3 linked regions of the Oryzias latipes genome follow. The protein of the gene in region 3 purifies or fractionates together with the protein of the main gene of each other region. This does not show direct contact. Links are inferred from orthologs where the notes say so. Each region holds a gene or a part of one and is shown on either strand. Other genes may lie near its edges. The genes, in order: ss18, bcl7a and smarcc1.

Region 1 (3,649 bases), on a different chromosome or scaffold from region 3:
CGAGTGTCCTATTTGTATTTACATATCACCAGCACACCTTTGCGTGCAGCGTTTGCGTGCGGTTAGTAAGGAGCCAGGACGCGCACCTTGCTGAAGACTAGAGTGCGGGGTTAGGTCGCTCTAAGTGTGTGGAACTTGCATTATCCTTACAAAAACTTGACAGTACACTTCCCAACACGCAGGGAAATCGTACATTCCGCTCTCATGACATCCCTTAAGATGGCCTCAGGACACACATGTGCTCGCCTTAAGACGCAGCCGCTCCTCTCTACGATCCTCCATCGCCCTGGATAGCCTGTTGCACCTGTACGCGTCAATAGGCTATCCGGGTTTAAGCATTTACTTAAAAAAAACAAAAAAAAGAGTATAGAAATAAACATGATTTAATCAGGATCTGATATCATTTGAAGTGTGGGTTTACTTGCAGGAGCTCTTAAGGGATTTCTCTTTGTGGCAGTTTTCTCTAGAACTTTCTGTCAGTTGCCCTCTTTGTGAGCCAGAGCTGTAGTTATTAATGAGCCAGCTGAGATGCCGAGGCTGTGAGGTGAGATCCATCTGGCACATACACACGCCTGCTCTCTCAGGCTCCCACAAGGTTATGCACAGCAGCATAAGGCATTAGGAGGGCCTAACGATGCTGCGTGGGCCTCATTTGACTTCCACCCAAGTCTAGTTTGCTCGGTCCTTCACAGTATCGGCAAAGATGGCTCCTGTGTACAGAGCTGGATTATAAATAGGTCTCTCTCTCTCTTTATACATATATACATATTTATTTTCTTTAGCTTGTTTTTTTTTTTATGTGTAACTGCTCCCTGACCTCAGTGTGACTCATTTGGTTGCATCCATAACTTGCTAACATGTTTCAGAAGCAGCCTAGGCAAATATTTGATATTCTTCTGTCGGTTGATCCTTGCTATAAAGCAGTGCTTCTCAAATAGTGGGACACGCCGATGCGATGCCAGGAGGGGCGCGCGGTAGTGGCGGTTTTAGGCACAGGTAATACGGGCAAATGTCCGGGGCGCAAATTTAACATGGGGGTGGTGACGACAGCGGCTCAGTGCGAGGAAAAAATCTGCGCCACTATTCGGTTCCTATTGTCTGTTAAATCACACACAGAGTTTGTAACAGCCTGAAACTTTTGAATCCCCGTCCCTGCAGCTGCGCGCTCCCGTCTCCTGTCACACGCGTGTGTGAGAACGAAAGGGGAGGGGTAGTAGGCTCAGGCTGCCAGGTGAAATGGGGCACGCGGAGAGCTGCAAGCACTGCCTGGATTAGCACCACCAGGATCATCACATGCTTTTAGATTACTCAGTTCATGCTAATAATGTCATCCTTCATTAACTGTTATAGATATTTTGATGACATCTTTATTTTTCATAAATGTATTTTTTGTCTGCCTGTCGTTTAGTTGGTGTCAGTATTTGAAATAAAGACAGCAGGTAATGCAGGAAAACCGCTGCACTTTATGAGATCATAAATAAACAATCCATCATTTAGAAAAACATCAGCACAATGTTTTTATCTATCTCTACAGACTAAAAAGGTTAAATATATTGGTGCTGCTCTGTTAATGTTTCAGATCAATTTACATTTAATATTATTGATTGACTAAATTATTTTTCTCAGCATCAAATGGTTCAGTTGGTCAGAATGTTTCTATTTTAAATAAGGACTGATAGATTTTTTTATTTCAGGCACTTTAAGCTTTTTTCTTTTAGACTATAACTGGGTTTCTGTGGCTAAATAAAGTCAATATTTGTTGAAAATTATTTTTATTGCTTTTTTTCTTTTGTTAGTGTTAAAAGATACAACTTTAGGGATACTTACACACATTTTATAGATACTAACCTAATATATTGTCACTTGGGTCAATTTCTCACTTCACCATTCAGAAGAATAAGGCTTCAAAAAGAAAGTAGTGAACATGGTGTCCGAATTGCTTTTATTGTTGGAGCATTATGGGTACTGTAGTCAGGTTTCTCACTGAGTGATGCATACTGTCCTTCAACTGTCTGTGAATGAGTTGAATAAAGTTTACTTCTAACTTTATAGTCACTTATATTAAAAGCTTGTTGTTTTTCTTTAACCAGGGATCCACAACGGAGGTGGAAAAGTCACGTTTAGACCCCTATTTTAGCTGAACAACTAGTCCTTTGGTTCAGACTGACAAAATTAAGACTTTTGGTTTATCAGAAATGGAATGTGTTGGTTTTTCAGTTAGCCGTCCTTTTAAGAGCGCCACCTTACATCTGTTTGTGCTCACTTTAGGCCCCTCCCAAAGTGCTCCGGGACAGTACCCTAACTATCCGCAGGGGCAGGGCCAACAGTATGGGGGCTACCGTCCTCCCCAGCCCGGACCCCCTCAGGGCCAGCAGCAGCGCCCGTACAGTTACGACCAGGTGAGTATAGCAGCAGTCACCGGATTGTTTGGAATTCCGATTTTCTTACAAATTAAACAAGTTTATTGCCAGAAAAAATGCTTTTCTAGCTCTCAGTGAAACCACAGACAATGAAGTTTAAAGTCAAGAATCATGTTGTGTTATGCATGCAAACATCCTATTGGGTGGTTGAGTCTGTTTGTTCCAGAAGATTGTATATGCTGCTGCTGTGTTTGAAATGTTAACCGTAGTGTTGGTTATTTCTTCTGGTTCATGTGGTGTGCCTCCTTTGAAATACCAGGGCTTTAAATAGGATTCTTCCTTAAACTTGAGTCAGTTTGCTCCATTGTTTAAAGTGCAATCCGTTTTCTGCCCTGTATTTCCCATGGTCTTCTGTGGGGACCAGAGCTACACGTTGATATCTTTATCTTTGAACATTCAGGGGCACATGAGGAAATAAGGAAGCGGGGATTTGAACCCCTGACTAGCTCTGTAAGAAGCAAAGGTAATGGTTGCTGTGAAGACCTCAGGGTCCAATCTAGACACTTGACCACCTAGAGTTAATTTGCATTTTCTAATGTTTCTTCTATCTGTCCTCTTCTTCTCTTTTTTTATTTTTTGATTCAACCTTTTTTAAGTTCTTCCATTTCTGTTTAACTCTACTGTTGTTGTTTTAACCAGGGGTCGAATTGTCAGAAATGAGGTCCCAAAACAAAAGCATGCGTAGTCTGTAGTGAGACGTCTCCTCAAACTTTAACACTCGACGAACAATGTGCTTGTGATGAAGCTGCGATTGTTGGGGTGTAGCGGTACATGTGATCTCCTCAAAACTGGGGCTCCAGGTGATGCGCCTGTGCTGCCAAACAAATATCTTGCCTCTCAATTTAGTTCCCATTTGTTTTTGCACAATCTAAACATTTAGTAATTTAAATTTCTACAAAACAAAATTTTCAGCTATTCTTTTGTGATTTTGAGTATTTTCAGGGACAAAAATTCAAATATTGTGATTTCATTAATGAAAAGGACAAACCAGCAGTGCTTTGTCTAGCTTTTTCAAATGATTGAAGTTAATCATGAATGTTTATTTTTAATTGTAAGGGTTTTCCTACCGTAGTTGTTTTTGAGTTGACTGGAAGTAGTTTAAGAGTACTTTTAAGGAAACAATGCAAAGTTAAGGCACCTAAGATGATCAACAGTCAAAAACATCTTTACTTTATGAAAAGTCTGATTTAATTTTATTTTTTTAATCAAAGACCTGACGGAAATTGATA
Region 2 (4,413 bases), on a different chromosome or scaffold from region 3:
GTGTGACTGTGTGTGTGACTGTAAATCGCCTTGCGCCTTCGAGGAAGGTAGAAAAGCGCTACACAAGTGTACGCCATTTACCCCCGGAATCCTTTTATGTGCCTTATTTTTTCCTCATGGTCTTCTGCCTCCAGACCTGCAGCCACTTCCACTGAAAAGTTTATGCAAAGTTTGGGGCTTCATTTAGAACTCGCATCTATGGAAGGTTCTACCGTTTTGGGTTCTACGTACAGAACGCATGGGCACTGAACGCACGTTGCAAGGTAAACCAGGTCAAAGTTTGACCAAGCAGGGACTTGGTAGTGACGAATGGATGGTGTCCTCTCGAATTCACAGAAGTGCCAACCATTGAAAAAAAGCTCATGGAGCTGCAGAAATGTATAATTGTGGTTTACGTCCAGCAGGAATTCTGTGATTTATCAGAATGGAGCTGTGAAAGAAAAAGTCTTGGGCAAGATTTGCACCACTGACATTTCACACCCAGCCTCTTCCAACTGTGGCAGATATAGTAAACAGTGGGGAAAGAAGAAGAAGAAGCCCCTCCCTGCTTGCCCAGTGTGAACTTAGTATTTTACCCTTTCATGGGTCAATTATGAAACGCATCCTCAGTGATAAACGAGGCAACTCTGGTTGGTCCAAATATGATGGACATGTTTTGTCAGTACTGACAGCCTCGGGTCACAAGCGTAACTTCACTATATGTCACAGTGTGACAGTCATGATAGTTTCAACCAGAACCCAACATGGCTAAGCTAAACGTGGATAGCAACCGCACATTTTAAATTATGTTAAATGAAAAAAAGTCTACCAAAAAAAAAATCATTGAAAATAATAAACATTTAGCAGAAATGGTGTTTTGGTGGTGATGGCCTCAAAGTGTTTTCATACCCTCCCTTCACGACAGGGGTTTTCAGGAGTGGCACAAGAAGGGCAACACAAGATTTAAAGATCTGTTTGTGGACAACACCCTGGATTCATTTGAGCGGCTAAGCCGAACATTTGGTAGATACCTGTTAGGCAGTATCTTCTCTCTCTCGCTGGAGACCGGTTTGGATTTGAAAGTGTGTAAACAGACCAGACGACACCGTGTGGCTGCATGAAGAGCTCAGATGTTTATGGATCATATATCTAAGAGCAACAGAATTTCGTTGTCACAAGTTTCTTGTGTAACAATGATAATAAAGGCTTTCTGATTCTGAACTTCCATTAGTTTGAATCAGAAAGCCTCCCTCTAATTCCATGTTGGTGTTTCCGGCCCTTTGATGTCTCTGCGGTAAAGCTGCTTTGTTCTTTTTGTGTAAAATACCAACAAAAATGACAAAGAGTCAAACTTTTTCTCTTTTTATGGCGATTTTTTTTACAAGTGAGTGGGTAAAAACAGAACAGCTGTGTTCCTGCCGCGGCGGACACCCTGTACCGGCTCTGGGGGCAGACCTGGGGGGCAGAGCGGAGGCGGCTGCGGCTTCTTTGTTCCGCCGCTCAGCAGGATCTGATCTGAGCTCAGCGCGCAGCCGCAGCCGCCCCCCCCCTCTTCCCCCGGAGCCGCGCAGGCGCACTGGCCTCTCTGTGCGCTCTACTGTTTGCATTGTGTCTGAACTGCCGGCGAGCTTTAAAAATATTTTAGCAGCGCGGAAATGTCGGGCAGGTCGGTCCGAGCGGAGACCCGGAGCAGGGCCAAAGATGACATCAAGAGGGTCATGGCCGCCATCGAGAAAGTACGAAAATGGTGAGTAAACGCCGGGAAAGGAGCGCTTCGTTACCCGGGAGCAGAAAGGCTCTCTTGTTGGGGGAGGAGAGGGAAGAAGCGAGACGGAGACGGATGAAATTGAAAGAAAACGACGTTTTCTGGACGGCAGATCCCGCCGCGGCTCAGGTGCAGCGGTCCGCACCGGCGTACCGGTCTTCGCCGGTCGGAGGCGGGCTTCGGCGGGAACCGGTTCGTCGCATAGCCGCTGTTTTTCCGCCGATTTTTAACGGCTAGGGCTGAACCCAGAAGAAGCCATTTCGATGCAGTCACATGAAGCCATTGCTGCTCGCTGCGGAGCCGGGAGCGCGAGCGGAGCGGCGCCGGCCAAACGAACACCCGGCGCGGACGGAGGGACCGTTCGATGACGCTCCGGAGTCCGGGCTCTTCGGCCCGCGAGGAGTTTTAAGGCAGCGCTCGGAGTCGCCCTTCGGGTCCGACGGAGCAGCGCTCGGTCGGTGGGGGTTGGGAGAGGGAAGTCCGCCGAGATGCATGGCTGAACGCGCAGCCAGCGGCGCCGAGCGACCGGTTCGCCGCGGAAAATCACCCTTTAACCGCCTTCAGCTTCTCCGCCGCACATATACGGTTATCACCCGGACACGAGGAGCGTGGATCCAGCCGCGTGACCCCGCCGGGGGGCGGTATTTTTTTCAATTTCTGCCTGTCTGGGTGGATTAATCAAACGTCTCCAGGTCAAAGTCAGAAGTTTATTTTTTTCGATTAAAGTTAAGAAAATAAAACGGAATAAACAAACCGGAACCAGAAACTTTAGGCGGGTAAACAAAACAGTTTCAGTCAGTTATTCCCCCAAATTTAAAAAAAGTTAAACATTTTGTTTGTAAATTGCAACAATTCATTCCTAATAAAAAATATTTTTAAAACACATTTTAACTTCTGTTTAGTTTTATTAACATCAGTTTAAGGATTAAACATTTGTTTCAGTTTACATTTTTTTCTTATATATGAGAAATTTTAATACCAAAATTGTTTATTTAGATAGAGGGATTTTACCTTAACACCTAAATGTAGCTTTTTTAAAGGTTTAAGTAGTGATTTAGAAAAACAAGGGAAATAATCGAATCATACTGATCAATAATCAATATATTGATCATTTAGTGACATTATTTTTATAACTTTTTTGTTGGTTTTTATAAATTATAGAAAAATATTTTTTTCCAACACACACTTCATATTCATTTATGAATAATAAAGCTGTTTAAGATTTTTGTATATATACATCTGATCGGTAACTAATCAATAATATAATTAATGTATTTTGTAAAATATAAAAGTAATAAAATCAGTTTGAAATCTTAAAATAAGATTTTTAAAGAGGAGAAAATAGCATTTTTCACATAAATCCCTTTTAACATATATATTTAAAGGATTTATTATTGATATAATTAAGGGGAAAAAATCTTCTTTTGATGTGATTTTTGGTTTTTTAATGAAAGGCGCTTCTGTCAGGATGATGAGGTTTTCCCCTTAAAGTCAGAGATGCTTCCTGTCCTGATGGTTTCCTCTCTTCAGGGAGAAGAAGTGGGTGACGGTGGGAGACACGTCCCTCCGCATCTACAAGTGGGTCCCGGTGACGGAGCCCAAATCTGAGGACGTGAGTCCGCCTCTGACACCTGTCAGCCGGGGTTTCTCTTCAAAATGGATGATTCTTATTTTCCGTTTTCAGAAAAACAAAAACAAGAAAAAGGGCAAAGATGAGAAGTACGGCTCAGAGGTGACGACCCCGGAGAACAGCTCGTCTCCGGGGATGATGGACATGCACGGTGAGGCCCCACCCCCCCACCTGAGGTCACAGCTGGACATGACAACAGGTCGTTCTCTGATGAATGTAAATAAAGGCTGAGCGTGCTTCTCCTTCAGACGACAACAGCAACCAGAGCTCCATCGCAGACTCGTCCCCAGTGAAGCAGGAAAACAGCTGTAGCACAAGCCCCGCCCCCGAGAACAACGCCGCCACGCTCCGTGAGAACAGCGAGACCAAGAGCGAGCAGAGCCCGGACAGCAAGAGAGGTCAGAGGTCAAATGCAAACAGCAGCTGGTTGGAGCCAGCGACCCCTCGGCGCAGCTGTAGCCTCAGCGCCGCCCTCAGGGAATTCAACCGTCAACCGTGTTTTCCAGACGGGCTCTGATTGAGAGCACAGAGAGGAAATGAAGTCAGACAGTCTGAGCCAATCAGAAAGGCTCTGTGTGAAGCCCCGCCCTGATGCGTTGTGAAAACGGCGCCCTCATCATGGCCGATCTTCAGAAAGACCAATTAAGATTTAATTGAAGCAAAACTGAACGAATCCAATACTTTGACGGAATAAAAGACAAACCTTTATCCCAATTTGTCACAGAATTCCTTAAATACGACCAATTCAATTTATAAACCCTAAAATTACAACAATAGTTGTCCTGATGGGCTTCAATGTGACGGAGAACCTTTACATCTCGTTACAAGTTGCAGTTCCTTCATTTCACCACAGGGTGTCAGTAAAGCACCACAAAAGGGACTGCAGTTTGATCCAAGCTGTGACCTCTGACCCACAGGTAAGACCACGCCCTCGTCAGAGACCTCAGAGAGAGCGCACGGCGCCAAGAGAGACGGCCAGTCGTCGGGGGAGAAGGAGTCACCAGACAGCAAAGCTACTCAGGTACAAACACACCTGCGT
Region 3 (3,649 bases):
CACAAACCACCTCCTCCAGTCAACATGTCGCCCTCAGGTGGAGCATTTGATATAAAAGTCAGAAGAAAAACCTCCAACCTGACCCACTTTAGGCGCCATCATACCCGTCTGATGTTTAAGAATAAACCTTATATAAAATGCCCTGCATAAGACATCAATGTAAGTCTGCTTTAATGCTGCTCACCAGTCTTTTCTGGCTCCTCGGGAGCAGTTCCAGCGATCCCGCTGCTCTCCAGGCCAAAGGTGGGGTCAACCTTTCCTGTACTCCTCGCCGCCTCCTGCACCTTCTTCACATGAGCTTCCACCAACTCTGCTGGAACCTCTTCACGAACGCGAGAAAACTCCTCTGCAAACGCAGCAAGGACATTTCCATATTAAAAAATAATAATAAAAATAAGCATCTTCACAGCTCGTTCAGGGCCGACGTCCACCATTAACAACACTGGCACGGAAAACAATACTTTGAAACAATTTCATCCTAAAACTAAAACAAGTTCAGTATTTATTTTTTAAATATGCTAATTAAATCTAAAAATCTAATTAATTAAAAACCTTGAGGATTTTTTCCCCTCTAATTTTGCAGTGGAACAGATTAAAAAAAATAAAATCTAGATTTGTATTGCTTTAGCGCTTACGTTTAAAAATGCCACAATTATTGCAGTCTCAATGTCTTAAGTAGCACTGATGCAGTAAAGTTAAACAGAACATGACATGAAATTCTAAATGTCCTTGCGTGTTTCCATAGTTTTTTTTTTTTTTTTACCTAAAGCTGCCTTGGCTGCAGCAGAGGCCACTCTGGGATCAACCACAGAGGCCAGGAACGCCACGGTGCTCATCACAGGGTTTCCAGACTGGCTGAAGGGTATGGGCTGATAAGCCAGCGGACCCAGAGACGCCTCTGTGTTCTCCAGGTAGGGATCTTCGATAGGCAGCCGCAGAAAGTGGAGGATACACTCGTCTTGGGTGCGTGAACCGACATGCTCAGATACTTTGTTCCAGTCGTCTTTGAACATCTCCAGGGCCTGTGATGAGTGAAAAATAAAGTCGCAACACAGAAGAAAAATAAAGACAAGTGCAGACAGACACACAATTGTGATCCACTGACAGAAGCCGATATCTAAACAAATAAGACTTGCCTCCAAGAGAAGAAGAGTCTCCTGCTCAGTCCAGTCTCTGGTGGCGATGCCTGCTTTAGACTGCAGAAAACCAAAGTTCAACATTGCCGTTTGTTTAAGGAATATGCATCTCCAATAGTTTCCATGCAGAACTCATGCAAATGTCAAACAGGACCTTTACCTTAGTGTTTTTCTTGCTGTAGAGGTCAGCACGAAGGCCAAAGTTCTGCAGGTCGATGGGTTTATCTTTGCTTTTATCTGCAAAATTAGGCATCGGCTGCTGAGGAGGAATCTGTTGGGAAAATATTACGACAATTATCAAGAGCTCTAAGGTATTAAAGCACTTTTTAAATAAAAATGTACTTTGGTTTTAAGCTGTTAATTTTTCTTTACTGAAAACAAGTGACTTCTTCATGAATGAAAGCTGATATATATATTTAAAACATTTTGTTGGTGATAATGTCAAACTCTGCCGGCATTTGGTGTTGACAATTCATAAGATATATAGCTTCGGTAATTATTTTCTCGCAGACAATGTTAAGAAGAAAATGTCTCAAGTTTTAAACTCGATTATTAATAAGTCGATATCATACATGTACTTCAAAGTAAAAGTGACTTTGCTCCCACCTAAACAGAGCTGTGCTTACCGTTGGCGGTCTGTGGTTAAGCGGCATGAGGCCGGACGGGGTGTCAGCCAGGACAGTGAAGTGAGGTGTGGGTGGGGGGCCCATGGGGAGCGGGCGGCTTTCAGAGTCCACCTGGTAGTTGACTAAACCCCACTGCTCCAGGAAGGCATGAACCCTAAAAACATCACAGGGAAATTCACAGATTCAATTTCTCTGATCATTTTTGTTCGTTTGTTTTTCAGGATTAAAACATGAGCATCAAAGAAGCAGAAAAGCCCTGAATCCTCTTCACCTCATGATGGCGCAGACATCTCCTGTCAGGTTCCTGCGGCAGGAAGTGGAGGTGAGGTACTCCTGGGGGTTCAGCCGATACGTGTCAATCATGAAGTTCCGGTACGCCAAATATCTGTCAACAAGTCGAGAAGAATCACATTATAGTGCGATTTAGAAAGTGTGATGTAGAAAAATGTATCTGACAGTGAGGCTGAGTCTGTAAATATAATCTCACATTTCTGGAGTTTTGGATTTGTTTTTCCCGTTAAAAAACTCAGGCAGGGCTCTTCGTTCAATCTCGTGGATGCTTAAGGAGAAAAAAAAAAGACTGTTTAATGCAACCGACAAACACACTCATCAGAAATGTTTAACACGTTTATTGGTAGCAGCATTTTTAGAGCGTACCTGTTGTAATCAAACCAAGCTCCGTAGCTCGGAATGATGATGTGATGAGTCTGTTCGGTCACATTATCCTCGTTGGCATCTGTCATTCGGTTCACTTCTCCTTTGTTTTGTTCCTCATCATCCTGCAAGAAAAACCTCAATTATAAGAAACTAAAAGACAAAATACGGCTGGCCTCAAAGGTTCTATTAAATCTGTGATCCAACAGAACAAAGTTTGATTTTGTTCAAACTAATTTCCCACGTGTTTCATAAAAGCTACAAACTCTTAAAAAAATCTTATGAAGCAAATGTTTGTATTTCAAGCACAATAAAATGTAATTTAGAATCAGGAATTTTATGTTTGACCATTAAATCAACATTTGTATTGTTCTTTAAAATGTTCTTTGTTTTTTAACTACCGGTAATAACTTTATATTTTAAAAGGAAAATATTTGAAACAAATTATCCTCAAATACTTCTCATTATGTTTTTCCCCCTTAAAGAAGTTAATATCAAAACCTTTTTCAGGACTTTGGGCTGTCAATAGACAATTATTAAAATTATTACATAAAGTTTCTAAATATCCTTAATGATACAGTAAACTTTGGTAGAAAATTAACAAGAGTGTCAAAGCCAAAGTGGATTTTTGTTTTACATTTATCCTTTATGATATAAAATAAACAGAAGTAATTTAAAAATTCAAAACACTTTACTTTAATGCTTAAATTTATAATTTGGCACTAATGTAGTAGTATGTGTCTAATTTTAAAGTAATAGATTTTTGTGCATTGGCCTTACCTTCACTTATAGTCTGTTTGTATAAAATCTTTGAATTTTCTTACCTTTCCACCAGACATTACAGAGTCATCCTCCATGTCATCTAACAAAACCCAGAAAAACAATGATCAGGTGACGCAGTCAACCCAATTAAAGCAGATTTCAGCTTTGGACTGAAATGTGTTTCTACGCATTTCAATTGGTTAAGACAAACATTCCTAAAAAAATAATAGGAAAGTACGTCTTCGTTGCTTTGAAAAACTTTTTTCTATACTAAAGGTTTCACACGTCTACAAACATTTGAGATGGTTTTACATTTGTCACACTGTAAAGGGTCTGTATGGACAAAGCATGCGGCTGCGTTTGATGTGTAGCTAAAATATAATCTTACATCTAAACATTTAGGCTCCAGCTGCATTTGCGGCTGCAGTACATACCATTCTTAGACATACTGCCCTCCTCCATGCTGGCACC

What was found.
Region 1: the proteins of smarcc1 (region 3) and ss18 purify together in Homo sapiens (affinity purification with mass spectrometry; 4 studies listed by BioGRID and IntAct, counting the BioPlex papers as one, with this or other methods). This does not show direct contact. The link is inferred for Oryzias latipes from reciprocal best matches to the Homo sapiens genes SMARCC1 and SS18.
Region 2: the proteins of smarcc1 (region 3) and bcl7a purify together in Homo sapiens (affinity purification with mass spectrometry; 4 studies listed by BioGRID and IntAct, counting the BioPlex papers as one, with this or other methods). This does not show direct contact. The link is inferred for Oryzias latipes from reciprocal best matches to the Homo sapiens genes SMARCC1 and BCL7A.

Annotation. Positions count from the first base shown.
Region 1 is NC_019875.2:25,752,138-25,755,786, reverse strand, and holds part of ss18 (protein SSXT), read left to right. Parts: intron 1-2,268; coding exon 2,269-2,399; intron 2,400-2,820; coding exon of another isoform or gene 2,821-2,838; exon of another isoform or gene 2,839-2,883; intron 2,884-3,649. UniProt on the Homo sapiens protein: Appears to function synergistically with RBM14 as a transcriptional coactivator. Isoform 1 and isoform 2 function in nuclear receptor coactivation. Isoform 1 and isoform 2 function in general transcriptional coactivation.
Region 2 is NC_019870.2:1,211,902-1,216,314, reverse strand, and holds the start of bcl7a (B-cell CLL/lymphoma 7 protein family member A), read left to right. Parts: upstream 1-1,527; 5' UTR 1,528-1,634; coding exon 1,635-1,726; intron 1,727-3,274; coding exon 3,275-3,525; intron 3,526-3,622; coding exon 3,623-3,772; intron 3,773-4,291; coding exon 4,292-4,395; intron 4,396-4,413.
Region 3 is NC_019874.2:27,737,722-27,741,370, forward strand, and holds part of smarcc1 (SWI/SNF complex subunit SMARCC1), read right to left. Parts: coding exon 3,613-3,649; intron 3,279-3,612; coding exon 3,241-3,278; intron 2,542-3,240; coding exon 2,420-2,541; intron 2,322-2,419; coding exon 2,250-2,321; intron 2,148-2,249; coding exon 2,034-2,147; intron 1,917-2,033; coding exon 1,763-1,916; intron 1,408-1,762; coding exon 1,297-1,407; intron 1,197-1,296; coding exon 1,137-1,196; intron 1,023-1,136; coding exon 764-1,022; intron 347-763; coding exon 185-346; intron 1-184. UniProt on the Homo sapiens protein: Involved in transcriptional activation and repression of select genes by chromatin remodeling (alteration of DNA-nucleosome topology).